Linked DNA regions of Macaca fascicularis. The protein of the gene in region 2 purifies or fractionates together with the protein of the main gene of each other region. This does not show direct contact. Links are inferred from orthologs where the notes say so. Each region holds a gene or a part of one and is shown on either strand. Other genes may lie near its edges. The genes, in order: WWOX, ERBB4 and signal transducer and activator of transcription 5A.

What was found.
Region 1: the proteins of ERBB4 (region 2) and WWOX purify together in Homo sapiens (affinity purification with western blotting; 4 studies listed by BioGRID). This does not show direct contact. The link is inferred for Macaca fascicularis from reciprocal best matches to the Homo sapiens genes ERBB4 and WWOX.
Region 3: the proteins of ERBB4 (region 2) and signal transducer and activator of transcription 5A purify together in Homo sapiens (affinity purification with western blotting; 3 studies listed by BioGRID, with this or other methods). This does not show direct contact. The link is inferred for Macaca fascicularis from reciprocal best matches to the Homo sapiens genes ERBB4 and STAT5A.

What each region holds. Positions count from the first base shown.
Region 1 is NC_088394.1:74,013,128-74,023,648, reverse strand, and holds part of WWOX (WW domain-containing oxidoreductase), read right to left. Parts: intron 4,371-10,521; coding exon 4,306-4,370; intron 3,004-4,305; coding exon 2,946-3,003; intron 1-2,945. UniProt on the Homo sapiens protein: Putative oxidoreductase. Acts as a tumor suppressor and plays a role in apoptosis. Required for normal bone development. May function synergistically with p53/TP53 to control genotoxic stress-induced cell death.
Region 2 is NC_088386.1:107,514,185-107,524,705, forward strand, and holds part of ERBB4 (receptor tyrosine-protein kinase erbB-4), read right to left. Parts: intron 9,909-10,521; coding exon 9,835-9,908; intron 8,717-9,834; coding exon 8,626-8,716; intron 6,668-8,625; coding exon 6,468-6,667; intron 1-6,467. UniProt on the Homo sapiens protein: Tyrosine-protein kinase that plays an essential role as cell surface receptor for neuregulins and EGF family members and regulates development of the heart, the central nervous system and the mammary gland, gene transcription, cell proliferation, differentiation, migration and apoptosis.
Region 3 is NC_088390.1:63,346,680-63,357,200, reverse strand, and holds part of signal transducer and activator of transcription 5A, read right to left. Parts: intron 8,698-10,521; coding exon 8,567-8,697; intron 8,338-8,566; coding exon 8,186-8,337; intron 7,752-8,185; coding exon 7,596-7,751; intron 7,191-7,595; coding exon 7,011-7,190; intron 4,120-7,010; coding exon 4,032-4,119; intron 3,932-4,031; coding exon 3,809-3,931; intron 2,843-3,808; coding exon 2,750-2,842; intron 2,263-2,749; coding exon 2,056-2,262; intron 1,769-2,055; coding exon of another isoform or gene 1,676-1,768; exon of another isoform or gene 1,540-1,675; intron 496-1,539; coding exon 401-495; intron 315-400; coding exon 184-314; intron 1-183. UniProt on the Homo sapiens protein: Carries out a dual function: signal transduction and activation of transcription. Mediates cellular responses to the cytokine KITLG/SCF and other growth factors. Mediates cellular responses to ERBB4.

The DNA.
Region 1 (10,521 bases), on a different chromosome or scaffold from region 2:
TTTTGATTTGGAACTGATTTAAATCTTGTAGAAACAGTATTAAAATATACTGGAGGCTGGGCACAGTGGCTCACACCTGTAATCTCAGCAATTTGGGAGGCCAAGGCAAGAGAATCACTTGAGCCCTGGAGTTCAAGACCAGCCTGGGCAACATAGTGAGACTTCGTCTCTACAAAAACTAAACAAAATTTTGAGTGTGACAGCACATGCCTGTAGTCCCAGCTACTCGGGAGGCTGAGGTGGGAGGATGATCACGTGAGCCCTTGCTTACTCCTCTAGATTAGACCAGAAGCTGGCCAAATCTGGCCCACTGCCTGTTTTTGTAAATAAAGTTTTATTGGAACACAACAATGGCCATCACTGGTATATTGTGTATAGCTGCTTTAGCAATACAAAGGCAGAGTTGAATCACTGCAACAGAAACCCTATGGCCTCCAAATCCTAAAACATATTATCTAGCCCTTTACTGACAAAGTAGACAGCCCCTGCTCTAGCGAGGTGGCTCTCAAGCTAGGGAGCATCAGAATCCCCTGAAGGCCTTATTAGAGCGCAGACTGCCAGCCCCACCCCAGTGCTGGTTCAGTAGGTCTGGGGTGGGGGCCCGGGAAGGTACATTTTTAATGAATTCCCAGGTGATATTAATGCTGCTGGTCCAGGAACCATGCCTGAGAACTGCTGCTCTTGGTTGATTAATACCCATTTCAGGGAGTAACTTTCCAAGCGTGAACGCAAAGGCACACAGCGCACAGGAGAAAACTGATCTGACTACATAATTTAAGACATTCGGCCAGGTGTGGTGGCTCATGCCTGTAATCCCAATGCTTTGAGAAGTCAAAGCAGGAGGATCACTGGAGGCCAGAAGTTCAAGACCAGCCTAGGCAACATACTGAGCCTCAGTCTCTACAAAAAAAGGTATTTAAAAATTAGTTGGGCACAGTGGTATGGGCCTCCTCAGGAGGCTGAGGCAGGAGGCTCACTTGAGTCCAGGAGGTTGAGGCCGCAGCAAGCTGTTACTGTCACTGTACGTCAGCCCTGGATAACACAGCAAGACCCAGTTTGAAAACAAAAAAAAACAAAACACACACACACACACACACACAAAAGAAAGCTTGGGAAAAAAAAACGTTTCCAACATATAACCAATGCGTTGATATCCTCAATTAACTGAGGGGGAAAAAACTTTCACAAGTTAGGGGAAAAGCCTTTTAACAAATAACAGGCACTCCCACCTATCCAACTGCTAGGCAGCCTTGTCCTGGGGCTGCCTATGGCGGCCTGAGAGACTTCTCTCAAGCAAGCCTTGGCCCATTTGCTCTCAATATTAGTTGTGCACCAAAAGTTCACCAGGTTTGCTCAAAAAACACGTATGTCATTTGAACTTGTTACTGTAACTACATTATTTAGCAAGCTAGCATTACAGGAACTGATAACATGGGAGGTGAAAAACAGTGTCACTGGTTATCTATGAAAATGTGGTTGAATGCTTTGGAGAGCCTCAAAGACAAGCAGCTAAAAAAAATTTGTGGTTTAATCAACTGCAGTGAAAATGCTAGGAAAAAACCATAAAAGTCCCAGATGATGTAGCAATCAGATTCTTTGAAAATACTGTGTTTGCTCAACCCTAAGGTGAAAGTAGAAATTGTAGATGTTATGTTACAGGTGTGCTTGGGGAAGGAAGACAACACTGGATCCTTGCAGCGAACTCAAACTCAAAGAGCAGGGCTGGCCCAACCCCTAAATGTTGGTGTACTTGAATCAAAACACTAAAACGTTTATGTTACATTCATAACTCAAAAAAACAAAAAATCCTGCTTAAATCAACTTCTATTAACCAACCAATCCTAATCCTGTCAAAGACTATTCAAGCTTCTAATTTAAATGTCAGCAGTCGTGAAACATTCATTCCCCTCTTAACTACAGTGGTCAAGAATACAGTCCCTGGAGCAGGTGCTGGGCTCAAAGCCTGGCTGTGCTACTTCTTTACTGTAGAATCCTTACCAAGTCACCTACCCCCTCAAGTCTGTGTCACTGGCAGTAAGCCAGCGATAATAACAATACTACGTCTCAGGGCACCGTGGGGATCGAATGACCTAATGCTACAGACACAAGATGATTAGAATCAGGCCTGGCTCAGCTGTATGTTGGACAGGCGGTTACTATTGCTGCGTGATACTGGAATTTATCCTGAAGACACAATCAGAGAGGTGAAAAAGTCTTACAGATAAGGATGTTCACTCAACACATTATTTATAATTATAGGTTCTCAATAAAAGGAATTTAGCATTAATGTCCAATAGGCAATTTGATAAATTATATCTGTACAAAATAATAACTCTAGAGCTGCTAAATAGCATCTTTTTGAAAAACACAAAAGGATACAAGAAAATGTTCACAATATATTATGTGGAAAAAGCAGGTTACTAAACAGCCCACACAGTGCAATCTTTTTTTTTTTTTTTTTGAGATGGAGTCTCATCCTGTCGTCCAGGCTGGAGCGCAGTGGCACAATCTCAACTCACTGCAACCTCTGCCTCCCAGGTTCAAGTGATTCTCCTGCCTCACCCTCCCAAGTAGGTGGGACTACAGGCGCGTGCCACCACACCCAGCTAGCTAATTTTTGTATTTTTAGTAGAGATGAGGTTTCGCCATGTTGGCCAGAATGGTCTCGATCTCTTGACCTCGTGATCCATCCACTTCGGCCTCCCAAAGTGCTGGGATTACAGGCATGAGCCGCTGTATCAAGCCTCTTTACTTTTTTTTTAAGGACGCATGTGCATGGAAAATAGAAGAATAAATCCAGAGATGTTAAAAGTAGTTACTTCTGCTAAGATGACAGATTCATACTATTATACTTTGTATTTTTCTACAGTTACTATTAGTTTTATAATTAAAAATGCCTATTAAAAAGCAAAATAGCTGAGAGTGGTTTCTTTGTAGATACTTACTCAACAAAAAACACTTGTCCGTTCTCATCAGTTTCTTGTTCCCATCCGTATGGCAAATCTGAAACACAAGAAAGACAGGTCTACAGGTGCCAGGGAGAAGTAAAGACCGTTCCCGGGTCAGGAAGGGGAGGAGCCCTCCAGGCTCCGCCCCCAAGCCTGTCCCTCCCACCCAACAGCTGTCACATCAACTGGCTTCGGTCACATGTTCCAATTGTGGCAGCTGCAGAAGGCCCCTAATCCCACCTGGGCTCCACATTTTTGCCTCTTGCTTTGAAGAAAACCTATTTTATGCCTCTTCACTCTATAAACCTTACTGATTGCACCAATGAATGGGAAGTCTCCCTTGAATGAGAGCTCACAGAACATATCTACATGCAGGGCAGGCACTCAATGTCATTCATATGCTGACTTGTGATGCCTCGTATGATATTAGAGGGCACTGCCATTTTTTCTCATGTGTACACACTGACACTTCAACTAGACCTTAAACCTCTTAAGGGTAGGAACTTTCTCATACTTTTTTTTGAGACGAGGTCTCACTATGTTGTCCAGGCTCATCTCAAATTCCCGGGCATAAGTGATCCTCCCATCTCTGCCTCTGAAACTGCTGGGATCATAGGCACAAGTCACCTTGCTTGGCCCCTTCTTATACTTCTATTCCGTGGATCACACACTAGCTCAGAATCACCTAGAAGTCATGGTAATCTTTACGAAATTCCCAAATACTTACCTATTTAATTCCATACTACAGCCAAGAACAAATTTATAAACACTGTAACTACAGGAAAACATCATACACTGTGAATCAAAGGCCTCAATTATTTTGATGGTGTTTTCTGTTGTTTTTGCTATTTTTCAGACAGCATCTCACTCTATCACTGAGGCTGGAGCGCAGTGGTATGATCTTGGCTCACTGAAACCTCCGCCTCCTGGGTTTGAGAGCGTCCTATTCCTCAGCCTCCGAAGTAGCTGGAATTACAGGTGCGCGCTACCATACCCAGCTAATTTTTGTATTTTTAGAAGAGATGCGGTTTCAACATATTGGCCAGGCTGGTCTCAAACTCCTGACCTCAGGTGATCCACCCGCCTCGGCCTCCCAAAGTGCTGGGATTACAGGCATGAGCCACCATGTCCGGCCATTTTGGTACTTTAAGACCAGTACGAAATCATCCTCACTCCACCCTACGATCTCATCTTCTTCTTCTGCCAAATCCCATAAGCTCCTCAGAATGGGAGTTCGGTTTTCTCTACCAGAGAGCCCTCCCAAAAACACACCATAACCTGTCACCTCTCTGCCGGTGACATTTTCCCCATCTACTTCATGCTTCAATCCAAGATCCTTTGACAACAACATACAAACCTCCTGCCACTCGTTTTCTTTTTCCAGTTTTTGGATGTTCCCACTGAGTCTTCTCCTCGGTGTGACTGTTAAAAAAAAAAAAAAAAAAAAAAAAATCCACAGTAATAAATAAAAATTAACTCTTCTAAAAAGTAATCAATTGTATTACCTTTTTTTCTCTCCCAGATAATACTCTCTCTTAAGAGTAATAAAAACAGACATTCAGAGACGGCATGGGCAGAATATAAATGTCACTGTTTATATCACAAATTCCTCAAGTTAGAAGCAGCAGCAGCCCTGTAGAAATTTCCCGACAGCCTGCCTTTAGAAGCCAGATATAAGGAGGAAGTGAGGGAAGAAGAAGAAAGAGGACTGTGACCCCAGCTATGGGGTCAACTTTAGGAGGCTTGCTGAATCACTCAAAGTATCTAGAGGCAGTTGGGCGCGGTGGCTCACGCTGTAATCCCAGCACTTTGGGAGCCCTAGGGGAGCAGATCACGAGGTCAGGAGATCGAGACCATCCTGGCCAACATGGTGAAACCTCATCTCTACCAAAAATACAAAAATTAGGTGGGCATAGTGGCACACACCTGTAGTCCCAGCTACTTGGGAGGTTGAGGCAGGCGAATCACTTGAACCAGGGAGGCAGAGGTTGCAGTGAGCCTAGATCACACCGCTGCACTCCAGCCTGGTGACGACAGAGCAAGACTCTGTCTCAAATAAATAAATAAATAAATAAATAAATCTAGAGACATTTTGCTCTGTATTTGTTTTAGTTTTATTCCAGGATGTAGTGACAAAATTCGTAATATCTAATGTATATAATCTCTTAAAATATTTACTTATTTATTTGTATTTCTTTTTAAAGAATCAGGGTCTCACTATGTTGCCCAGGCAGGACTGGAACTCCTGGACTCAAGTGACCCTCCTATTTCAGCCTCTTCAGTGGCTGGGACTAGAAGCCACTTGTCCAGCTAAAATGTTTACTCTTTCTGCAGATGTAACTTCAAAGTGTTTCATTAAGCACTGGTTCCTAACTGGTCCCAAGAGGTAGTTAAGAGATGGAGTAAGACAGCCCCATAAGTCACCTAGCTGTGCGCTGTGCATCTTTGGTCAAGTGACCCCATGCCTTAATCCCCATTCCCTCATCTGCAAAATGGAAATAATCCTAGCACTCATCTTGGGGGCTGCTATGTAACAATATTGTATACCCAGGGTTTCGCATAGCACCTGGCATACAAAAAGCTCTGGGAAATGTAAGCTGTTACTGTGAACAAATCAGTTACATAAACTAGTCTGATTTTTGCGTCAAACTTAACATTTCATCTCAGACCACCACCCAAAGTTATAATTAAAATAGTAGGCCAATAACTAGAAACACGTGTCACCAGGTAAGAAGGAATCCAGGAAAACATACAATTACTTCATCAGGGAAAAAGCCAGGTGCTACAAGAGGCATTCAAAGGGTAGCCTGGGTTCCCTAAAAGTTTACCTACTCAAGCCAACACAGACAGTTATATTTTTAAATCAGCAACATCTAGGTGATAGGACATGAACATTCTTTCCCTGTCAATTACTTTAAAGAAAATAAATACAGAGAGCATGAATTTTCTAAAAAAAATTCTACAACTTGCAGGCAAGGTCTTTTTATGAACTGCTGGCTTCTGGTCTGTCTTGACAAAGTCTTGGCAGCTGGGTCCCTGTCATGGTGCAGGAACGCCTCACTCAGCATGCTAAAGACTGAGCAACCCGTGCTAGCTGAGTCCAGGCAGTGTCCTCAGCGCTGCCGCCTCACAGAGCTGCTGAGAAGGTGAGACACGCGACACCTGTGACAGTGCTTGGAGAATTAAATCCTTGTACCAGCTACGGTATCAGTAGCAAAGACAAACTCCTACTTTGTACATCAACCACCATCCCATAGCACTTGCAAAAAAAGCAGCTCTATGGCCGGGTACGGTGACTCACGCCTGTAATCCCAGCACTTCGGGAGGGTAAGGCAGGCGGATCACCCAAGGTCGAGAGTCCACGATCAGCCTGACCAACATGGAGAAACCGTGTCTCTACTAAAAATACAAAATTAGCCGGGTGTGGGGGCGCATGCTTGTAATCCCAGCTACTCGGTAGGCTGAGGCAGGAGAATCGCTTGCACTCGGGAGGCGGAGACCGCGCCATTGCACTACAGCCTGGGCAACAAGAGAAAACTCCATCTCAAAAAAAAAAGCAGCTCTGACTCTCTGGTAAGGATCATCCACTCTCCGCTGGCACAGAGGGAATACTGGCATACCAACTCCTGCTTCTCCTTCCCAAGCGACGGGAACAGCAATCAGATACACCAAGCATTGGCAACAACGCGAAACCTTCCTGCCCCTTGCAGAGCTGTCTCACGCTTTTTCAAGAAAGTTAAGAGACGGAGTTGCATTTTCCTTGCCTGCCATTAAAAGTAGTCTTCATCTCATAGGCACACATCAAACGCGCTTGAAGCCTGGCTCCAAAAAACTCTACCCTCAACAATCCACAAAGTGGCTGGGCGTGGTGGCTCACGCCTGTAATCCCAGCATTGTGGGAGGCCGAGGCGGACGGACCACTTGAGGCTAGGATTTCAAGACAGCCTGGTCAACATGGCAAAAGCCCATCTCTACTAAAAATACAAAAATTAGACAGACATGGTAGCACACGCCTGTAATCGCAGCTACTTGAGTGGCTGAGGCATGAGAATTTCCTGAACATGGGAAGTGGAGGTTGCAGTGAGCCAAAATCACACCACTGCAGTCCAGCCTGGGTGGAAAAGCAAGACTCAACGTAAAAAAAAAAAAAAAAAAATCCATGAAATGACCCTTAACAGTGGAAGCTGAGCCTTGACAGTAGGCAGGCTGGCGCAGAAAGAGCCTCCCGGCCCTTAGTAGGTGAAGCTGGGCCCTCAGACATGTAGCTGCATGCCTGGCCCACAGCAGGTGCGCAAATGTAAACATACAGAATGAATACTTTCCAAAGGAGCTACAAAACTCACTCAGAATATTTATTTATTTATTCAGAAAGACGTTTAGAAAACAAAACAAACTCTGTCAACCTATGTTCTTGACTTTCACAGAACATGCCTAAACCAGGGTTTCTTGTCCTCACTGCTGGTGACACTTGAGGCTGAATCTTTTTTTTTTTTTTTTTTTGAGACACGGTCTCACTCTGTCGCCCAGGCTGGAGTACAGTGGTGCAATCTCAATTCACCGCAACCTCTGCCTCCCAAGTTCAAGCAATTCTCCTGCCTCAGCCTGAGTAGCTAGGATTTCAGGCACCTGCCACCATGCCTGGATAATTTTTGTATTTTTAGCAGAGATGGGGTTTCATCATGTTGGCCAGGCAGGTCTCGAACTCCTGACCTCAACTGATCCACCTGCCTCAGCGTCCCAAAGTGTGGGGAATCCAGGCATGTGCCACTGCACCCAGATCACATCATTCTCTGTTGTGGGGTTGTCTTGGGCACCACTGGCCTCTGCCCATCAGATGCCAATACCCCAGTACCATAGCTGTGGCAACAGAAAGCGTCTCCAGACACTGCCAACCGTCCCCTGCAGAACACAACCATCCCTAGGGAAGAACTCAGAACCAGCTGAAGCAGAGACAGTAATTTGGTTGGTCGTGAAGATTCTGGAGCCTGACTGCCCGTTTTCTGGGTCTCCCATTTGCCAGCCACTCTGCCCTTGAAGAAGTCATTTAATCCCATGCCTCAGTTTCCTCATCAGTTTAGATGGGGACAATAACAGCACCTACTTCTTGAGGTTATAGAGTTAACACAGGAAGAACTAAGAACTGTACCTTTCAGCAGAAGACTTATTTTTCATAAATATAAAAATTAATTAAAAGGTGTTCTTTTTAATTATAACCTTAAATGACTTTTTAATGAAGAGAAAATTAGAACACATGTCCCCTAAGTGTTCTCCTATTCTCCTTTAAATAAAAGGCAATTTTGATTTTTTATTTTTTCAATAAGCTTGCCATTTAAAGAGATGATTAATAGTAACCTAAACTTAAACCAAAGGATTCAAAATTAAGTGAACATCATATTACGTGAATACCACACTTCCACATATCGGGTGTTTTCTGTTATTTATTTATTTTTTTTTTAAACAGGGTCTCATTCTGTGGCCCAGGCTAGAGTACAGTGACACAACCATAGCCCACTGCAGCCTCGAGCTTCTGGGCTCAAGCAATCCTCCCACCTTGGCCTCCCACCACATCCCGCCTACAGGGTGTGTGTCTGTGTTCTGAACACAGTGTAAGTTAACAAGGAGATCTAGAGTTGACGGTGAGGACAGCCAGCCCTGTGGACGCAGGAGACATGGAGGCCTCTGACTGCCAAAAGGCCTGAGCTTCATAAGGAGGACAGGGAAGGGCAAACAAGGACGGCTCTGACACTGAGACCTTGTCCCTCCCTCCCCATGTCCCACGAAGGGGCTGCTCTGAGACTGTTAGGGGAGAGGGGTAGAAGAAAGGTCCCACCAGCACTCTCAGGTCTCTGGCCTCCCCCGACCCCATCCCTGGGAGCCCAGCCTGGTGGGCTTTGGAGCCCTAAGACGCGTGTGCCTCTGAGACATACAAGTGAACCATGGGGCAGGTGGGAAAGCAGGAGAGGCCAACAGCAGCCACACAAGACCAGGCTCCACCAGACCCCGAGGTCTCAGTGGGAGCTACAGCCTCTCTCCCTGGCCGTGGCCCTGCTACACGAGGGGCAACAGTATGGAAAAGAAATGACTCCAAAAGCAGCCTCCTAGAAAGCACATCCGCAAAGTCTCCCCAACCCCAAGAGAAAAACCAGTGTCACTTCCAGAGTCAGGAAGGAAAAGGGGTTGGAACGAGCACAAAAATGTAAACAGAAAAGGGCCAGGATGCTCACAGATCAGGGGAGATCAAGGGAAGGTGGGGTTGGGACGCATCAGAGGCATCCTAACCTAACACCCAAAGAACTTCAGCCTTTCTGCCCTGACACCCAGAGAACTGAGGGCTGGCGGGGATGGACAGAAGGTCCAGAGAGATGAGTCCTCCAGCTGGGAGCCAGCCAAGCCCTGGCATCTCAGCTGGTGTAAACAATAAATAGCTAATGCATGCGGGGCCGAATGCCTAGGTGATGGGTTGACAGGTGCAGCAAGCCACCATGGCACATCCTGCACATGTGTCCCAGAATTTTAAATTAAATTAAAAAAAAAAAAATAGAGTCCGAGAGGCCAGCTTGAGACCTAAGACAGTAGTCGGGGGGCTGGAAGAAGAGCTTTTGGAAACCATGCACGCACCCGAGCGCCCTGGCCATGGGACACACAGGAAGAAAGCAGATGGGAGAAAGGCCAAGTAGCAGGAAGGCAGGCACAGGGGGCACGCAGGGCAAGCGGGAGCAAGGGAGCCCCAGGGCCCTGGCGCCAGGATCCAGGGCACGCCTGCAGGGAGGCAGAAGCACCTCTGTGGCTGAGTGGCAAAGGAGGAGACGCCCCACAGAGCCAGAGGCAGAGGTGGGCTTAGGAAGCCGGAAGGGGGTCATGTGCATCTCTGTACTCTGAGGCCCAGTGCACCGCTCACCCACCCACGGAAGCCCGCGGCTGACCTTCCTGAGATGATTCATTTACTCATCCCACAGGGGTTCATCTTACAGCTTCTGGGTGCCAAGCACCGGGGACGCGCAGATGAACAAGCTGCCCTCATGATGTCTGCAACCCGGGCAAGGGAGACGGGGCCAACGAGGAGGAGTACACAGCCAAGGCTGAGCACGAAGAAGCAGAGAAACAAGGTGACCAGTGCAAGGTTGAGGGGACACCCAGAGTCAGGAAGGTCTCTTGGGCAGTGACACGTGCGCTCGGCTCTGAAGGACGAAAAGGAACCCTTCCCGACAGACGTACAGGTGACAGGGACAGGAAGTGCCCGCCCAGGAGCTTGCCTCGACCCTGCCAAGGCTAATGGAGCTCTGCTGCTGCTGGAAAAGGCCCTTTAATTCCCAAGAGCCAGAAATTCTTCCGGAAGTCACAAGCCAAACGCCACTCTCCGGCTCTGCCAACAGAGCCCAAGCTCCTCCACGAGGCGCAGAACTCCTTGAACTGGGTCCTCCCTTCCCTGCCTTAACCTTCACATTCCTGGACCCTCACAAAGATCACAGGCCCCTGGACAGGCCATGCAGCACTGTTCCCTCTACCTGAACTGCCCTCCTGCCCCACCCACTTCTACTTGCGCTCAAAACCCCGCTCTGGGCTTGGTACAGAG
Region 2 (10,521 bases):
TCTATTTTCTGATTACTCAGAAGAATAGTGACTTCCCTATATTCAAAGTTACACACTTTATGTTTCATACCAAGCTATGGTTTAATGAAATGTGTCACAGAGTTCATTAATTTCCCAGGCTACCAGGCCCAAAGAATGGTTCCTCTGACTTGGTAGGCTGCATTTTGTTTGTAAACGCACATTTACTCAAGATAGCATGGGATGGGTTAGGAGTGCACAAATTAAAGGTGAAAGTATGGGAGCAGGAGAAAGTAAGAAAATCTGCCTTACCTTAGTAATATTTTCTTAAAATAAGGTAAATCTTAATTTGTAATCAAAATTCATTTTCTGTAATATACAACATATTAGAAATGACGACAATATAAAGTCTGTTTATTTTATAGAAATCCAACATTTCTTATGATGTTATAGTAAGTAAAATGCTTGCTTCTGTATTTTGCTGTTTTTATCCCAGTTACGAGAGAAAAACAAATAAAACAATATATTAAGCAAACACTGTTTTATTCTTCACTGTGTGAGGTGCCTTCTATTCCCTACTTATTAACGCTTCGACCTGTTTCAATTCTGGACATGCAGTGACTCATTATAAAATTGGATGATGTTGTCATCCAGAGAGTTTAGTTATTAGAAATTAACTATAGCTCTAAAATTACCTTTTTCTAGATTCATGTAAAATGGGGTGGATTTTTCTACTGTCAAATTTCAGAAACATAAAAACCACAAATAAATATAAAAATGTGTATCCTTTTTAGCTTATTGGTGCCAAAAATATATATTCCCCATCACCAAATATTTTTGCCCTGAGCCATTAATTTAAACTTGATATTTTTTTGAATTTTAGAAAGTCTCTTGCTTATCATAAAGCCAACTGTAAAATGTTTTAATTTAGAAGAGAAAAAGAAAAATAAATACATTTCAAGGGATTCTCAAACATATACTTTTTATCTGCTTATGATTTTGAGATCATTTCTAAATTCTTCAATGTCTAGCCTCCTGTTAATAACATAATAACTAATCTTATTCCTTCCATATCTCCCAATGGTTGATCTCGCAAATTTTTAATTAATCACTTTAATAAAGTAAATTTTTGTTCTGCGTAAAAAGAAAGCTCTTGATATTTATCTATCCTTTTTTATGTTCAAGAAGGCACTTTTTGTAAAGTAAAATTAAATATTGTATCTTCACATTATATAATATATGTATATGTGAATGTCTAATATATAAACTATTTTTAATAGAAACATAAAATTTTTAGTAGTAGTAATAATAGCTAACACATGTATAGCTCTCTCTTGCTCTTTCTTTCTTTGTTTCTTTCTTTCTCTTTCTTTCTCCTTCCTTCCTTCCTTCCTTTTCTTCCTTTTCTTCCTTCCCTCCCTCTCCCCCTTCCTCCCTTCTTTCCTTCCTCCCTTCCTTCCTTCCTTCCTTCCTTCCTTCCTTCCTTCCTTCCTTCCTTCCTTCCTTCCTCTCTCTTTCTTTTCTCTCTTTCTTTCTTTCCTCACTTTGCTGCCCAGGCTGAAGTACAATGGTGTGATCTTGGCTCACCACAACCTCCATCTCCTGGATTCAAGTGATTCTCCTGCCTCAGCCTCCCGAGTAGGTGGGATTACAGGTGTGCATCACAACACCTGGCTAATTTTTGTATTTTTAGTAGAGACGGGGTTTCACCATATTGGCCAGGCTGGTCTCGAACTCCTGACCTCAGGCGATCTGCCCACCTCTGCCTCCCAAAGTGCTGGGATTACAGGCATGAGCCACCATGCCCAGCCAACATTTTCTTTATTTTGAGAGGAATCACGGTTAAATTAAGGGCCTAGACTTCGAAGTCAGACAGGCATTGGGTTGAAGTCCTTAATAGGATTTTAGTAGCGCCAAAACTGGAAATATTATTTAACTGTCTTAATAAATGTATACTCATCTGCAAATGCAGATGATTATACTTTACAGGGTGGTTGTAATAACTAAATTAAACAATATACCTAGGTTGAGAGATAGAGTCTGGCACCTTTTAGCTGATTTGTTAGCTGATTAGCTAAAGTCAATAAGGAGAGATGGGTTGTTTAATAAATTATTTTGGATCCACATCGCAATCAGGAATTTTTAAAAAACGCTATGCCAAAACGTCAAGATGTGTTAAAAATTTCAATATTTTTTTAAAGTACTAGATGAAAAGAATTATCTAAAAATACAAGATCAAACAATTAAAAAGGAAAAGAACAATCTAACCACTTAACTATATAAAAATATGGTTTGATAAACATTGGATTATCAAAAGACAAATTATTCAAATTACCAGTAAGAGAGGAACTTATTCCCAACACATTTAAGGAACAAAATTTAATAAATTTAATTTGTAAATAGTTTTTTCAAATTTAGGAGAAAAAGAACAACCCCCAAATTAAAAATGAACAAAGTTCACATATAAAGCAATTTACAAGATAAAAAAAGATGAATTAATCATGTAAATATAAAATACTTATTTTCTTCCTTTAGATCACTGAAATTTAAAACCATAGATAATATCTAGTGATTTAAAGAGTAGTGGAAAATATTACTATCACACAGTGTTTGCAACAAGGTTAATTGATTTAGTATTTTCAGAAGATGACAGAGAAATTAGTGAGAAAATTTTTATGTAGCCTCATTTACAGAGAAATTCTACATCTAAGGTTTTAGCCACAGGAAATAATTGTACACTACAAAATGTTTCATAAACTAGATACACATCATGGCAGCAGTGATAATATAAAAATGGAAAATAATTTAAAATACAATTAATATGGTACTGGTCCAGAATACTTCTATAAATAGCTTTAAAAAGGAATGAGGAAGGCCAGGCATGGTGGCTTACACCTGTAATCCCAGCACTTTGGGAGGCCGAGGTGGGTGGACCAGCTGAGGTCAGGAGTTCGAGACCAGCCTAACCAACATGAAGAAACTAAAATACAAAATTAGCCAGGTGTGGTGTTGCATGCCTGTAATCTCAGTTACTCAGGAGGCTGAGGCAGGAGAATCGCTTGAACCCGGGAGGCAAAGGTTGTGGTGGGCCAAGATCGTGCCATTGCACTCCAGCCTGGGCAACAAGAGTGAGACTCCATCTCAAAAAAAAAAAAAAAAAAAAAAAAGAATAAGGAAGAGCTCTATCTATTGAATGTGAGATGCTTATACTAATGCTTATACTATATTAAGTATAAGACATAGATGACTGAATGGTATTTAAATAGAAATGGTATGATCCCATTTATATATGAAAATATATATTTCACTATCCTTATCTATATATATGAAAAATATATTCACCAAGAATTATATATAATATAGTTTTAAAAATATTTTTATATATTTTTGATTGGTTTTATTTTGAATAATGAAAAAGGTACTATTATAATTGGAAAAATAAAAATATTTTTATTTTGAAAATCAATAATGAATTTAATTTCATGTTGAGTTTAACAGTATCTGTACAAATATTTTAAAGACTTGAGACTTGAGATATATAAGTTCAAATATAACTCGGATTCTGAAGGGCTGGTGTAATATTTATCTCTACACTGTTTATATTTCAGTATTAAAAATTTATGCTTAAATATTTTAAGAAACTTCAAATGCTTTTATAAATCTACTCTAAAACTTCTTCCACCTAACACTGCAATTTGGTTACTATCATAACCACATAAATGACAGAGGTCCAAAATATTCTAGCTTTTCATGTCCCAGAGTTCCCTCAATCTCAATCTCTTCAAATCAGCTTTGAAATTTTTGACTTAAAAGAGTAAGATTGCTCTAGCCACTGTTAGCCTTTATAGATGAGTTAACCTTTTTTTATATTGTCATTACTGTTTTAAATCATGCTGAACTCCAAAAAACACCATTACAAATGAAGGACTGCCTTTTCATTAAGTTCATAAGCCAACTCTTAGATTTAGGTCAGAGTATTTCACGGTAACTGTGTGTAAATGTAAGTGGGCAAGTAAGGGTGTGTATGCATGGATATGTTTACTAGGTGTGTGTATATACATGTGTGTTGTATATGGAACAGCATACAGACATCCACTCTGTATATGCATATATGTTTAGGTGTTGTAGTGAACATATGTGTATGCTCATGTACATCTTGTGTGTGTATGATATACCAAGATGGAATATCCAAAAAGGAAACATTTACAGTGCATTTAAAATGAAGCAAGCATTTAGACATTCCCATTTACAAATAGTACTGGGGGTCGTAAACATCAGCAGCATCTCTGAGGTCAAGTTTACAGGGTAATTATATTTCTGAAAATGGAGGCATATGGAATTTTTATGGATCCAGTATGCTGTGAGTCTGAAGTCCAAATTTTGATAAATGAATTCCACGCAAAATATATTTATTCTAATATGTTTAAAATGAAAAATGATATGCTTGATACTATAGCACCACAAAACTATGTTTCTCCTAACTGCTTCATTTTTTTCCCCAAACTGCAAAGTAATTCTTGTGCACAGAACAAAAAAAAATATGTCTATGGTCTGAAAAGTAGTTAACCTCAATCCAAGAAGCATAACACTGAAAGTTTAAACACATTTTATATTTTAGTTATTATCATTATTATTATTGTTCACTCCCTTTTGGTCATTTGAAATGTTTAGAAGTTTTAAAGAAGTGTAAAATAACATTATATAATTTACTGAAATATCCCTTTTTCTCATCTTGTTTCCCTACATTTATTTTTTGCATTTTCTTCTTCCCATTTGCTTTTCAAGTATAGAAAGATATATGAAATATGAATTTTTGTAGGATTTGTAAACTGATTAAGTGCATCAAAGAGGAAGAATGTTTTTTTCTGATTCTTTTATATATTTCTTTACATTATTTTGAATTCATAGTTAAATTTTTGAAAGATAGAGGTACTAATTTTTTTAAGGATGTCGAAGGAAACAAGAGTATAACCCTGATTTAGGGAAACATTTATCAATTGGTATTGAAGAAGAATCTATCTTATTGCCATGAATCATCTACTTTGGGGCATATACACACACATATTGTGATGTGGGATAAGCTTAAGCATTAGGGAAAAAGCAAAGCAAATTTTCTTTTAGAAATCAGTAATGTGTAAAACCAAGGAAATAACATAGGCCAAATGAAATAATGAATATCATTCAATATAACATGCATATTTTGATACACAATTAGATTTTATATTTCGTGATTCTATGTGGAACAGAAGAATGAGTAAGAACTTAAGTTCACTCTTAGCAGGAATCTCATATTGGGATAGATCTCCTTCATTTCGAAATATTTTTAAGGATCGAAAAGAGCTAAAATATAAGAGAATTAATCATAAATTATATTTTATGAAGATTAGTAGACTGAGCTGTCTTAAATTATTTCTGGAACAAGATGGGATCTTAATAAATCAATTAATTCACTGAAAACTCAATAAACAAATTATGTTGGCCTCTTAAGAGTTTATAACTTTTAAAAAAGTCTTCTATTTATTCACACACACACACACACACACACACACACAAACTCAATCATTACTCATGTATACCCTTATGATTGTTTTAATGGAGAGATCAAAGAAGTAAGAAAATACTCTGAGAGCAGAATTTTCTAGGGTTCTGCCTTTTAGAACGGATTGATTTTGTGCCCACAACAAGAATATTCATTTGCAAACAGATCATTTGAGTGCGGAGTCTTTTTATTCAGTATTTACCATAATAAGTCTGATGATTGTACTCATAATAGTGGCACTCATAGGATGTAGGAAAGAGTAGTATTCAGTAGAAAAACAGGGAAGAATGAAGTATAAATCATTGGAATATCAGTGCATTAGATAGGAATGGCATAGTCATGTGCCTACAAAAGCATTATTTGCTTCAGAGTAAATGAGAAATTATTAAATGAATCAATAAGTAGCAAAACAGATGAAAAAATGATAAATACATGTCTACATAAATGCATTAATAAAGTAAACTTTCTTTCTGAACAACAAAACATCTTGAACAATGTACTTCTTGAATAGTAGTTTTTACACATGTTAGAAAAATACAACTTCATTTTTCTCACCACCTCTAAATGGCAAAACTCTGTTATTCTGTTATGAAACTCACTGAAACCAAACAACAAACAGAGAATTCAATAGGGTGGATCTCCACACATTGACTGGATCCTTGAAATTACCTGGGATGCCAATGATTTAAATACCCAGGTTCCATTTAGACATACTGAATTCAAATCTCCACAGGAGCGTTCTTAAGATTAGGTAAGACATCTTGCAAATAAATATGCCATATGTTGTAGAAAGTCACTTACTCTGATTATTTTATATCATATTGGCAATTGTAATAACTACCTTCCTTTTTAAGGGTTGGGATAACAAAGCAACAATTCTGACCTGATGTTATTTTTAATTTTTTGGTCCAAAAAAGAATGGGAAAAAAATTAAGTTTCTATGTTTTAAATGTCTGAGTAATGTACTTACTACAGTTTTCAGCTTTTCTATTGTCCCGGATAACTATTCTTTGGTTGATTGTGCTGAAGAGTGTTGTCCAGTTAATGGTATGATAATAACACAAGTTGCTATTGTCAGTAATATAGATGTTTCCTGCGCTGATTTCCTTCAGGGACTGGAACTGTAGAGAGGTGATGCCCTGTTGCTTGAGGATAAGCAAGGAGAGGCCACTAAGGAGGGGGAAGGGAGAAAATGGAACCATGAGACACATTCTGGAGTAAAATAAGGCTGTCATATTTTATTTTTAAAAGAATGTTAATGGAGTGTAAATAGAGACTGAATCAGTAACTCTGTGTTTTGAATGATATTTGTTTTTACATGCTATATACAGTTTTTAAAGTAACAATTTGACCTCCCAAAGTAAAATTTCCATTGCTTACAGTTATGCATATTGGCAGTGTATCTCTGTGTATATATTTACCACTGAAATATCTGCTCACTATCTTCCCACCCCAAGCCTTAACTTTACATTGTTCAATGATGAAATCCTGTATTAACACTAAAGAAGTGTTTATAAAACAATCGTTCATCTACTCAAAGTAAGACATTAATTCCTTTTTATGTAATAGATTTAGACATATAGACATACTTTCAGAGTATGTCTAAATAATTTCAGAAAATGATTATAGGTATTTAGCTTTACTTTAATACCTCAGACACCAGAACTGTAATAATTGAGGCATGTGTAAGTAAGGTTAGGAGACGGTAAAAAGTAAAGAATAAAACTAAACTAAAATTAGAAAAAGAAAACAAACTCAGATGCCTTGGGTATCTGGGGAAAAGGTCTCTAAAAGTTAAATAACAACTACCCTGTTTAGAATTGCTCACATCATGCACTCCATGCTTGGAAAATACTAATATTACTTTGAGTGACTGACGATTGAAAAATCAAGGAAACTACTTTTATTTTAATATAATCCACATTATTGTAATTATTTACTTTTTTACTTATTTTCTTTTTTTACTTATTTACTTTTCCATTCTCTAAAGCATAAACATGCTTCCCATATTTCAATCAGTTAATGAATATTATTTTACATTTTGGAGATCAATGCTTTCCACTTTTATTTTTAGTTTTAAATATTCTTTGCTGTTAATATTTAGATTTATCTTCCATGGTTGTCAGAATGTGTGTGTGTGTGTGTGTTTGTGTGTGTGTATGCTCAATGATAAAGACCAAGATGCAGCTCTTTCTCTCAAATTTTGTCCCCATCATAACTATCTTGAGTTGTTGATTACAATGTTAGCACAATGTCTCGATTGGCTTATAATATTTATTCAATGGATAGTAAAAGTTGTTTACATATAGCACTTTAATAGATTGTATCTCTTGACTATCCTTTCTTATTAAGCTCCTTTTTCCTTTACATTTTTAAAACCTCTTATAAATATAACTTTTAAATTTTAATAGTGAAATTCAATGTACTTTTTATAAAACATTATTATAAAATCAATGATGATATTAATTTTGGAGATATTTTGAACTTAAGTAAACAAATTTTAAAAATTCTTATGTAAATTGACTTTTAATTGCTCATAAATAAGAACGTCATACAGATGACATTGAAGAAACCTGTTATTTACTCTTATAATGTGAATTTAAATTATTGACATTATAATTTTATCAATGTCCTTCTAAACCTGAATTTTCTTGTCCATTTATTAACCAGCAGAACATGTAGAATGGCGGACCTGTTCCTAAAACATCAGCCCTGTGATGTGTAGTTCAAATTATAGCACCAGAGACAAGAACAGAATCTCCTGGCACAACAGCATGTGTATCCTATACACCCGAGCCATTACCAAGTCACACAACTCTTATCTTTTAGTTATGATAACATCTGATAAAAAAGAAAGTTTCATTAATTGTTCATATCTTGCACCCCATACTTGCAAAATACTAATATTATTTTGAGTGACAGACAATTGAAAAAATCAAACTATGTATTCTGTAATACTTCATACCATCATTGGAGGTATTTTCAATGAGCTTATCTTTGGAAATAAGGATGGAAGCATGATTTCCCCAGAATCAGTAAATCAATAAGAGTGATGGTTTTGACTTAATGCCCAGACGATGCTCCTCTTGAAATCTGTGAGACCTGCAACTTTAAACATATCCACTTACCTATAGAGTACTCTTCCACCAATGGTCACTAGGTTAGAAAAAACACTGAAATCAGTCATGTTTGGCGGCCATGACTGTATGTTCAGGAAACCTACAAGTGAAGAGTAGTAAAAATAAATCAGAATATCATTGTCTTAGTATTAGTGCTGATTTTTCTTGAAATATGGTGAAAACATGTTGAAAGGTGGGAAGTGAGAAAGGAGTAGTGAACATTTCTATTTTTGAAGCACTCTATTACGTATGTATTCTTCCAAGATTGAGTCTCTTACCCGGTAAAACTTTATATGTTGAAAGGTTTCAATGACTCAATTTGATTTATTCTTATAAATGCAAGAATGTAGTCTAACTAGATGAAGAGAAAAATATAGTTTCAATTTCTCCGAAATCTTTTACCTCTTCATCTGTATACTTACGATATCAGTGTCACCCTTATATTCTAAGACATTTATATACGTATCTAACCTTTCTCATTAGATTTTGCATTATTTTACGGTAAGTCCATGTCTGATTCATATCTATGGGCCCCATATTACCCACTAAGACAATGTTGAACACATTACAGGCTTAATATATATGTGCTAAATAAATGCTACATGTTATCCATGTTCAAGAGTACTTCTTTTGAAGAAGTAAACAGAAAAACATGGGTTCAAAGATCAGTTGACACTTGCAAGAGTTGTAATGTCAGACTTTCAAAGACACTCATTTTGTAATTCCATGGGCTTTCAAAATATGCATAAAAGCTAATACCATCTTTAAAAATAATACGAGTTTTTACAAACTAAAATCTGCTTTGAAAATTAGTTGCTGATTCCAATCTTATGTAACTTTTTCTGTTTTGTTTTCTTTTTTGTTGTTATTTTGTGATGGAGTCTCACTCTATTGCCAGGGTGGAGTGCAGCGGCGTGATCTTGGCTCACTGCAATCTCCACCTCCTGGGTTCAAGCAATTTTCCTGCCTCAGCCTCCTGAGTGGCTGGGATTACAGGCACGCACCACCACACCCAGCTAATTTTTGTATTTTTAGTAGAGACAGGGTTTCACCATGTTGGCCAGGATGGTCTCAATCTCCTGATCTCGTGATCCACCCGCCTTGACTTCTCAAAGTGCTGGGATTACAGGAGTGAGCCACTGTGCCCAGCCAATCTTATGCAATTTTTTTTTAAAATTACGTTGTTCATAGCACAACAGTTGCAGTTTAAAAAATTACCTGTTATCTCTCTGACTGTCCGAAAGACATTCAGTTTCTCTGGGTCTATGGCTTCAATTGCATTGTAAGGGTCCCTAGAAAATCAAGAAGAAACATAGCCAAATTTAAATTTTAATAAAGGAGTGAAAATATGAGAAATGTGACAGTAGTTATTTTATTCTAATTTAATTTTAATTAGCAATAGGGGCGTTATCAATGCATGTCTAAATTAATCTGTGCTAGATGTGGAGGAGGAATAGTAGGTGTTTTGTGGACATTTTTGATGTCACAAAATATGAGATTTTCATCAAAGCCTATTCTAGATCTATAAGATTATTCAGATTGAACTATTCTGATGAAATTCTCAAAGATAGCAAGTTCATGTATGAACCACTTGACATTGCTTTGTTTTAAAAGTTTATTATTGATTTGGAAGAATATATATAGTCTAGAAATAAATTATATTATAGTGAGAACAACTGGTATTTCTGCTCCTCAAAGAAGTATACATTGCTAATAGTACCTGGAATTCATAAGAAGGATAGAAACAAGCACAGATAAAATTGACATTTTTTTCTTCTGTAGCTCTACATTTATCTACTCATGAATTTTCATAATATTTATGACATTGTCCAAAAGTATCTCTTCATACAGATTACTTAGAACCATCTTGTTCCTATCTAGCTTATTCATATTCACGTTTATAAC
Region 3 (10,521 bases), on a different chromosome or scaffold from region 2:
GACTTCAGGTTCTCCAGAATGGAAAACGATAGAAAGGGAATTTCCAAGCCACAGCCCTCTCATACTAAGCTTCCCACTGGGTACCTTCTAAGGACACAAGCCCGATGCGGAGGGCGGGGGGAGGGGGCAAGGGAACAGGAGACTGGGCCTTGGGGCTGGAGTGTGGGCAAAGCGGGCACTCACGGGAGTCAAACTTCCAGGCAATGGTGATACCCCCAATTTCTGAGTCACTAAAGCGCAACAAGAAGGTCCCATCGGGCTTGTTGATGAGCAGGTCGTGGGCCTGTTGCTTATTCACAAAACCTAGAATGGCCCTGGGTGCATGGAGCATTGAGCGTCACCACTGGGCCACAGCCACAGTCCCTCTGTGCCCACTGACCCTGTGGCCCCCGTTCCTTACCCATCATTCCAGTGGGGCTTGTGGTGCTTCTTCAACACCTCCATCACCCCGTCAAACCACTGCCAGAAGGTGTAGTTCCAGCCCGGCAAGTTCTCCTGAGGGCCCAGGAACCCCCGAGTCAGGGCTGGTGCCCCAGGTCACAGGTAGCCCACGAAAGTCAGGGCCCTCCTGCTCCCACCCAGCCCTCTCCCAGTTCTTCACCCCTGCTTGCCACCACACTCCAGCAGACCATAAAGTGACACAGCCCCCAACTTGTACCCTAGGGACCCAGAGAGGAAACTTGCTTCTAAGACACTAGGGTCCAAGACTAGCCCATGGGTGGGAGTAAGAGGTGTAGAAAATACTCCAGGCTGCCCGGGCGCGGTGGCTCAAGCCTGTAATCCCACCACTTTGGGAGGCTGAGACGGGCGGATCACGAGGTCAGGAGATCACGACCATCCTGGCTAACACGGTGAAACCTCGTCTCTACTAAAAAAATACAAAAAAAAAAAAAAAAAAAAAACTAGCCAGGCGAGGTGGCGGGCGCCTGTAGTCCCAGCTACTCGGGAGGCTGAGGCAGGAGAATGGCGTGAACCCGGGAGGTGGAGCTTGCAGTGAGCTGAGATCCAGCCGCCGCACTCCAGCCTGGGTGACAGAGCGAGACTCGTCTCAAAAAAAAAAAAAAAAAAAGAAAAGAAAATAATCCGGCCGGGCGCGGTGGCTCAAGCCTGTAATCCCAGCACTTTGGGAGGCCGAGGCGGGCGGATCACAAGGTCAGGAGATCGAGACCACAGTGAAACCCCGTCTCTACTAAAAATACAAAAAATTAGCCGGGCGCGGTGGCGGGCGCCTGTAGTCCCAGCTACTCAGGAGGCTGAGGCAGGAGAATGGCGGGAACCCGGGAGGCGGAGCTTGCAGTGAGCCGAGATCGCACCACTGCACTCCAGCCTGGGCAACAGCGTGAGACTCCGTCTCAAAAAAAAAAAAAAAAAAAAAAAAAGAAAATAATCCAGGCTGGATGGGGCCTCCAAAGTCATCCCCTCATTTTATAGGTGGGGAAACTGAGGCACAGAGAATGGATGGGTCTTCAAAAATTAGTGAGGAAAGAGGCAGAAGCAGGGCCAGAGCCATAGGCGTGGTGGCTCACGCCTGTAATCCCAGCACTTTGGGAGGCCAAGGTGGGCGGATCACCTGAGGTCAGGAGTTCGAGACCAGTCTGGCCAACATGGTGAAACCCCGTCTCTACTAAAAATACAAAAATTAGCCCAGCATAGTGGTGGACGCCTATAATTCCAGCTACTCAGGAGGCTGAGGCACAAGAAGCACTTGAATCCAGAAGGCAGAGGTTGCAGTAAGCACTCCAGCCTGGGTGACAGAGTGAGACTCTGTCTGTGAAAAAAAAAGAGAAAATTAGCAAACACATCTAGGCCCAGAACCCAAGGATCCCGACTCCCAGCCCTGGGGCCCTCCGTCATCTCACTCTGGCTTCATCACTGAGCACAATTCCTATAGCCCCTGCCTGCATTTCCTGAGGCTAGGGGCCCCCATCTCTCCTGGTTGTAGGAGAGGGTAGTTGGGGGTGGAGAGTGGGGTGCTAGACCAGGCAGTAACCTGTGAGGCAGAGGAGCGACAGACCCCCGTAGGCCCTGGTGGACGGCTGGTGGCCGGGCCCCTACCCTGTTGAACTGGGACCAGGACACGGACAGGCCGCTGTAGTCCTCCAGGTGGCTGCTGCTGTTGTTGAACAGTTTCTGCGCCAGGAACACAAGGTTCTCCTTGGTCAGGCCCCGGTTGCTCTGCACTTCGGCCTTGAATTTCATGTTGAGCGCCTCACACAGCTGTGGCCACAGCACTTTGTCAGGCACGGCAAATGGCACCCTGCCCTGAGAGGGAGAGAAGAGAGGGGAAAAGGTAGATTAAGGGAGTTGGAAATGTTCACACACACACGAGATACACAGACACTAAGAGACAGGGGAGACTGAGACAGATCCAGAAAGGTGACACAAATGCAAGGGTAAGAAATGCGGTGGCTTTTATACACTAGCTTGCGCTGCAACCCCAGCCTGCAGGGAAGAAAGCTGATGCAGGGGGTGGGGGCACAGAGGACAGACAGCAAGGACCCAAGCCATCTGCCAAAGGAGGATCCCAGACCAGGATCCAAAGACCAAACTCACAGACCTCACAGACCCCAGTCCAGGAACTTGGAACCCAGACAGAGTACCAAGGCCATGGCCGAAGGCAGGCGCCCAGCACCCCAGCCCTTCTGGCCTCACCTCACCTCTGGGCTGGCCCTGGGGTGGGGCTGACCCCAGGCAAGTCCTAGGGCCCGGGGGGTGGGGGGGCTGGGGTAGGGCTCCCACGGGAACTCACCGGCTCAGCAAAGGCGTTGTCCCACAGCACGGTGGCCGTGGCATTGTGGTCCTGGCTGCCATGGACGATGACGACCACAGGTAGAGAGAGAGTCTACAGGAGTCAGAGGAACCCAAGTTGATGGGGCGTGACCACCATGTGCCCTCTGCTTAAGCAATGTGCTCCATCTTTTTTTTTAATGCTTTTTTTTTTTTTTTTTATCCATTGTTTCACTCTTGTTGCCCAGGCTGGAGTGCAATGGTGCAGTCTCGGCTCACCACAACCTCTGCCTCCCAGGTTCAAGCGATTCTCCTGCCTCAGCTTCTCATGTAGCTGGGATTACAGGCATGCGTCACCACACCTGGCTAATTTTGTATCTTTAGTACAGACAGGGTTTTTCCATGTTGGTCTGGCTGGTCTTAAACCCCCGACCTCAGGTGATCCACCTGCCTTGGCATCCCAAAGTGCTGGGATTACAGGCATGAGCCACCACGTGTGGCCGCAATCCACTTTATTTTTTCTTGAGACAGGGTGTCGCTCTGTCATCCAGACTGGAGGGCAATGGTGCAATCACAGCTCACTGCAGCCTTGACCTCCTGGGCTCAAGGGATCCTCCTGCCTCAGCCTCCAGAATAGCTGGAACTATAGGTGCATGCCACCATGCCTGACTTTTTTTTTTTTTTTTTTTTTTTTTTGTAGATACAGGTTCTCACTATGCTGCCCAGGCTAATCTTGAACTCCTGGACTCAAGCAATCCTCCCTCTTCTGCCTCCCAAAATGCTGGAATTACAGGTGAGAGCCACCACACCTGGTCCCAACCCACTTTCCTCACCCACAGTTCCAAACACAAACCCCTCCCAACAAAACGTAGGCACAAGCAAACAAACAAAAACTACAACCAATTCTTCTTAGGCCATTGCCTAAATTGTCTGGGTTAGTCCCAGATTATAACCTAGCAAACAGGTACCCACAGAGTCAAAGCAGGCTGTCCGGTGGCAATGCAGCCAGGAGTCCCAAGGCAGGCCCCTCCACCTCCTGGGTGAACTGCAGCAGTTGGGGCAGGAGGGCTGGGGGCCTCACCTTCACTTGGAACACAAGCTCATTGCTGCCAACACTGAACTGAGACTCAAACAGGACTGTGAACTTCTCCTCTGTCACGGACTCTGCACCCCGCCGGTCAGCACGCTTGATCCTCTTCAGTGACTGCAGGGTGGGAGGTGACAGGGGAACAGGGAGACTGCGGCTGCTTACAAGGACTCGGCTCTGGGCAGACCTGCCCTCTGAGGGTGGGCCCTGTCCTCACCATGTTCCTGAAGTGGGCGCTGAGGGTGCCCGTGGCTTGGTGGTACTCCATCACGCAGCAGTTGTTCAGGATCTCACCACTGCACTCGCTGCAATGGAGAGGGGAGTCCCAGCTCTACACAGGCCCCAGGCCAGGAGCATGGTCCTGTCCACACCTTGGGCTGGGGTCTTCACTCAGTTCAGCCCTGCCCCCATCCCCCAAGAGTGTTTCTTGGCATCTTTCTGGGTTGACTTCTCCATCAACCTGGTGCCCAGCACCCAAGGCAAGGTCTCCAATGGTGAGGTCTGGATCTATTATTAGAAATTCCTCAGATACAAAGATTGATGTGAGGGGCTTTGGGGACTTCCAGTAGCTTCTAATGCACTTAAGATAAAAACCACAACCACAGTCTATGAGTATCCTTATGTTTAACACCTACCCACCTCCCTGGCCTCACTGAACTCCTCTCCCCTCACTCAGGACACGCAAGCCCCATTGGCCCTGGCTGTCTGCTGAACATGCCAGGCTTGGACATTGGCCCTTGCTCTTCCTGTCACCCCAAACACTCTTAGCCTTCTCCTCCTTCAGGTCTCAGCCCAGATAGCTCCCCAGAAAGGCCTTCCTGGACCACTTATCTGGTGAAGCTTACCAGGCTGACCTTCCCTCACCCCCGCCTTTAACACATCTCCAATGCTAGCAGATTGCTCTTTCTTCTCTTTTTGGAGACAGAGCTTTGCTCTTTTTGCCCGGGCTGGAGTGCAATGGTGCAATCTCGGCTCACTGCAACCTCCACCTCCCAGGTTCAAGTGATTCTACTGCCTCAGCCTCCCAAATAGCTGGGATTACAGGCACGTGCAACCACACCTGGCTAATTTTTGTATTTTTAGTTGAGATTGGGTTTTGCCACGTTACCCACGCTGGTTTCGAACTCCTGACCTCAAATGATCCTCCCACCTTGGCCTCCCAAAGTGCTGGGATTACAGGCGTGAGCCACCGCGCCCAGCCTAGATTGCTCTGTCTTAACTTCTTTTCCACTGTCTTGTCATTGGGTTGGCCCTGCCTGATCTTTTAAAGTGTATTTTCATCAGTCTCCCCAGCTGCAGTGCAAGCTCAAAGGCAGTGAGATCATTTGTCTTCATCTTCACCCCAGATCACATGGTAGGAAATCAGTAAAGTTTTTTTGTTTTTGTTTTTTTGTTTTGTTTTGAGACAGAGTCTTGCTCTTGTTGCCCAGGCTGGAGTGCAATGGTACGATCTTGGCTCACTGCAACCTCCACTTCCTGGGTTCGAGCAATTCTCCTACCTCAGCCTCCCAAGTAGCTAGGATTACAGGCGTCCACCACCACGCTGGGCTAATTTTTATATTTTTAGTAGAGACGGGGTTTCACCATGTTGGTCAGGCAGGTTATGAACTCCTGACCTCATGATCTGCCCGCCTCGGCCTCCCAAAGTGCTGGAATTACAGGCATGAGCCACTGTGCCCGGCCTTCTTTTTTTTGAAACAGAGCCTCGCTTTGTCGCTCAGGCTGGAGTGCAGTGGCACAATCTTGGCTCATTGCCACCTCTGCCTCCTGGGTTCAAGTGATTTTCTTGCCTCAGAGTAGTTGGTAGTTGGGACTAGAGGTCCAAGTAGCTGGAGCTACAGGTGTATGTCACCAAGCCCGGCTAATTTTTGTATTTTAGTAGAGACAGGGTTCACCATGTCTAGTTGGCCAGGCTGGTCTCGAACTCCAGGCCTCAAGTGATCTACCCGCCTCCACTTCCCAAAGTGCTGGGATTATAGGCGTGAGTCACCTCGCCCAGCCTCAGTAAACATTTTTAACTGGATGACAGGGGATGGGGCCATGTCTTCCACATCACTCATTCACTCACTCATTCATTCACCCCCTGCATATGTTGTGGGTGGCCTGCCCTGACACTGGACACTACCTCCCCACTCTGCCACACACAGCCTCTCTGTACTCTTCCCTCAGGACGCGGCACATGGGCTCTGCCTGAAAGTCCTCTCTCTCTGCTACTTCCCTCCCTATCACTAGCTACCTCTAATTCCACCAGGAGCCTAAGACTGTCATTTCTTTACTCCTGCATCAAGACCCCCTTTCTCAGTGCCCTACACGTCCCCCTGCCACATGGCTACACCATCAGGCATTTCCCAGCATCTGTTGCCTGCTCTGCTGGTCAAGGCGCTGAGCAAGGAGACAGCCCAATTCTGTTGGGATCACAGTTTCGTCCTCGGTGCGTAGCACAGGTTCTAGAACACAGCTGCAACACCATACTTTGTGTGATTTTCTTCGAGACAGGGTCTCACTCTGTTGCCCAGGCTAGAATGCCATGGCGCAATCATACCTCACTGTAGTATCAAATTCCCAGGCTCAAGCGATCCTACCACCTCAGCCTCCTGAACAGCTGGGACTACAGGTGCGTGCACCACCATGCCCAGCTAATTTTAAAATTTTTTGTAGAGATAAGGGTCTCCCTGTGTTGTCCAATTCAAACTTTTGGGCTCAAGTGATCCTCCCACCTTGGCCTCCCAAAGTGCTGGGATTACAGGGGTGAGCCACCGCATCTAGACTAGCACCATGCTTGTTGCAGGAACCGGGATGGTCTCTGAGTAGGAGGAGGGCAGTGTACCATCTGTCCAGATTTAATGATGGTTTGACATGATTGAATTTACAATGGTGTGAAGCAACACACTTTCAGGAGAAAGTGGTATAACAGTCTCTCACAATGCTGGGCAGTGGCAGTGAGCCTCAGCTCTCTGGCAGCCACGCCATCCCCAGGGTAAAGAACTGATACTCGGCTGGGCGTGGTGGCTCACGCCTGTCAACGCAGCACTTTGGGAGGCTGAGATGGGAAGACTGCATGAGTCCAGGAGTTCGAGACCAGCCTGGGCAACATGGTAAACTAGGGGACAAGACATGGCTGGATGCAAGGACAAAGAGAGGGGGTGCAGGTCCCCCACACCTAAGTCTGGGCAGGGGAAGGGAGAGGCACAATTACTTGCGGGTGTTCTCGTTCTTGAGCAGAGACTTGGCCTGCTGCTCACTGATGATGGTGGCCTTCACCTGGGGCGGGTTCATGTGCACGTTCAGCTTCCCGCCCACCAGCAGGCGCACAGTGGCTGCAAACTTGGTCTGGGTCTTCAGGACCTGAGGAGGCTGCTTCTCAATGATGAATGTGCTGCAGGGGACACAGGGACAGACGTACGATGAGGGGTTGGCGCAGGGGAAAGGGCTCTCAGTCCTCCTGTGGTGGGGGTGGGTCTGCCTCCCGCGGGGCTCAGGAGGTGAAAAGCACGGGCACAGCCTCTGTTCCTGGGGAAGCCATGAGATTCCAGGGAAAGGATGGAAAGGGGAGTGACATAACACAGCAGCTGGCATGGGCTGCGGCCCAAGGGCATCTCTTGCAGTGTCCACAGGAGAAACCGGGCAAGGGCGGCACCCAGCAGCCACAGCAACTGGAGACGGAGTGGGGAGGGATGACAGGCACAAAGCGAATCTGCTGGTCTGGAAGGCACCTGCGGCCCCCCACACGCAGTCTGGAGCTGCCCCAAGCTCCTGGGCATGGCCAACAGGCAGCAGTCACCTGGTCACCAGGGCTGAGATGATGTCCGTGATGGTGGCGTTGACCTCAGCCAGCATCTTCTCCACTGGGCCAGGGATGGGCAGCTGCTGGCAGAGGTGCTCAGCCCTGCGGATCTGCTGCCGGTTCTGCCAGATGATCTCAGCCAACTTCTCACACCTGCACGGGAGCCCCAAGGCCAACAGGAGGACAATGGCTTCTTCGCACAGACGCCAGGCCCCAAGACACAGTTCCCCCTCCCGCAGGAAGGCTCTGTGCTTTCACCACACCTCCCACCCATGGGAAGAGCAGAGCTCCCTGCCTCCCAGAATTAGAAATGTACACAGGAGGGGCGACCCTGACTAGGCCCAAACAGCCCGAGCATCACCCCACACCCCCGAGCTCTCTCCCACCCCCAGGACAGCAGCCCCCTTCCTGGGGGAGGTGCACAGGATGGGGGACCAAAGTCTGATTCAGGAACCAGGCCCCCTGGAGAAACTAGAGCTGTCCCAGGATGGAGGGGGCCTGCTGCAGGAGCCAGCACAGGAGGCAGAAGCAGCCAGGGTCCCCACCAGCCCCCCCTGCCCTGCCCTCTGGCCGCCCCACACCATTACCAGGACTGTAGCACGTCCAGGCTGCCCTCGGGGGGCCCGCCGTTCCCCGCCAGCTGCTGCCGCCGCTTCCACTGGATCAGCTCGTCATCTAGGATGATGGTCTGCTGCTTCCGCAGCAGCTGCAGGGTCTTCTGGTGCTTCTCGGCCAGCTCCTGAGGGAAGGGAGGACAGCAGCCCCTTCTGGGCTCCCAGAGAACACTGCGGGGCCTCGCTGGGAAATGGCAGGGCAGGTCCGAGCTGCTCTGCCTCGCATGGCCCCCAGGAAAAAATGCTTCCTGCCTCCCCAGGTTCTGCTCTCATCTGGGTCCTAACCCTCCCTTGGGTCGCCAGAGACTGACTTCATGGCACCCACGCCCAGGAGAAGGCCAGGACCCCACTCACCACGCGGTACTGCTGCAGCGTCTGTGCCTCGCGCTGCAGCCACGTCTCCAGGGACACCTGCTTCTGCCGGAGGGCCGTCTCCCGGCTCAGACGCTCCTGGGGGCTCAGCTGGGCCAGTGGGCCAAACTGAGCTAGAGGAAGGGATAGGAAACCATGACTATCACCTCCCAGTGTCCAACAGGAGGCCCAGGGAAGCGCACTCACCCGTTCTGGAGCGAGACCCTCCCAGGCTCAGATACTGCATCAAGGGCAAGTCGGAGTTCCTGACAGACAGCGGGGGCAAGATGAATGGGCGCCTCAGGAGGTGCCTCTGGGCCCTGCTCCCTGGCCTCCTGACTCTGAGCGTCCCCTCTGGGGGCACACGGGTGCTGGGGCAGCTGGGGAAGAGGCCCGCCTGTCTCCTGCCTGCCTGCCACACAGAGCTGCCAGCCCTCTTCTCACAGCCCGGCATGGGTCTAGGCTGTCTGGGGTGCAAGTGTGCCCTTGACTGTGGGTGAACCTGGGCAAATCACTTTCCTTTCTGTGCTTCGGCTCCCCCACGTGTAAAACAGGAGAATCTCAGTACCTGCCTCAGTGGGGCGCTTGAAGATTAAATACATGAGGACATGGAAGATGCCAGAAAGCTTCCTGGCATGGGTGAGCTCTGTGTGAGGTTCGTCCTTCTTGGTTAATGGGGAACAGGACAGAGAGAAGAGGTGACAAGACAAGCAGTTGCTCGGCCCCATCCCTCCCGCAGCAAGGCCTCCTCAGGGGCCCCCGGCCCCGGCCACTCTGTCTCGTTCCTGAGCACAGCAGTCCGCCCTCAGGGGAGGATGAGATTCTCGAGGGGCCGGAAGGGGCCCGGCATGTTTGTCCAGGTTGGCTCACTGTGAGCCCAGCCGACCAACCAGGGGAGACAGACAGACAGACAGCAGAGGAGAGCATGTCCAGGGCCACTGGGGATGCAGAGCCACCAAGATTCTCTCAGGAAAGGGAGGCCGGAGGGAGGTGGCTTTTCTCCACACCATCTGTGAGGAGTCATTGATGGTGGGACAGGGAGTAAGTCAGGCCTCACTACCTTTTAAAAAGTATCCATTGGCCGGGCGCGGTGGCTCACGCCTGTAATCCCAGCACTTTGGGAAGCCGAGACAGGCGGATCACGAGGTCAGGAGATCGAGACCATCCTGGCTAACACGGTGAAACCCCGTCTCTACTAAAAAATACAACAAAGTAGCCGGGTGAGGTGGCGGGCGCCTGTAGTCCCAGCTACTCGGGAGGCTGAGGCAGGAGAATGGTGTAAACCTGGGAGGCGGAGCTTGCAGTGAGCTGAGATCCGGCCACTGCACCCCAGCCTGGGCGGCAGAGCAAGACTCCGTCTCAAAAAAAAAAAAAAAAAAAGTATCCATCATGGGGCCGGGAGCGGTGGCTCACGCCTGTAATCCCAGCACTTTGGGAGGCCGAGGCGGGCAGATCACGAGGTCAGGAGATTGAGACCATCCTGGCTAACATGGTGAAACCCCGTCTCTACTAAAAATACAAAAAATTACCCGGTGTGGTGGCGGGCACCTGTAGCCCCAGCTACTAGGGAGGCTGAGGCAGGAGAATGGTGTGAACCCGGGAGGTGGAGCTTGCAGTGAGCTGAGATCGGGCCACTGCACTCCAGCCTGGGCGACACAAGCGAGACTCTGTCTCAAAAAAAAAAAGTATCCATCATGTGGCCAGGTGTGGTGGCTCAAGCATGTAATCCCAGCACTTTGGGAGGCTGAGGCAGGCGATCACTTGAGGTCAAGAGTTCGAGACCAGCCTGGCCAACATGGCAAGACCCTGTCTCTACTAAAAATACAAAAATTAGCTGGGCATGGTGGCACATGCCTGTAATCCCAACTACTTAGGAGGCCCAGGCAGGAGAATTGCTTGAACCTGGGGGGTAAAGGTTGCAGTGAGCCGAGAGCACCACTGCATTCCAGCCAAGGAGA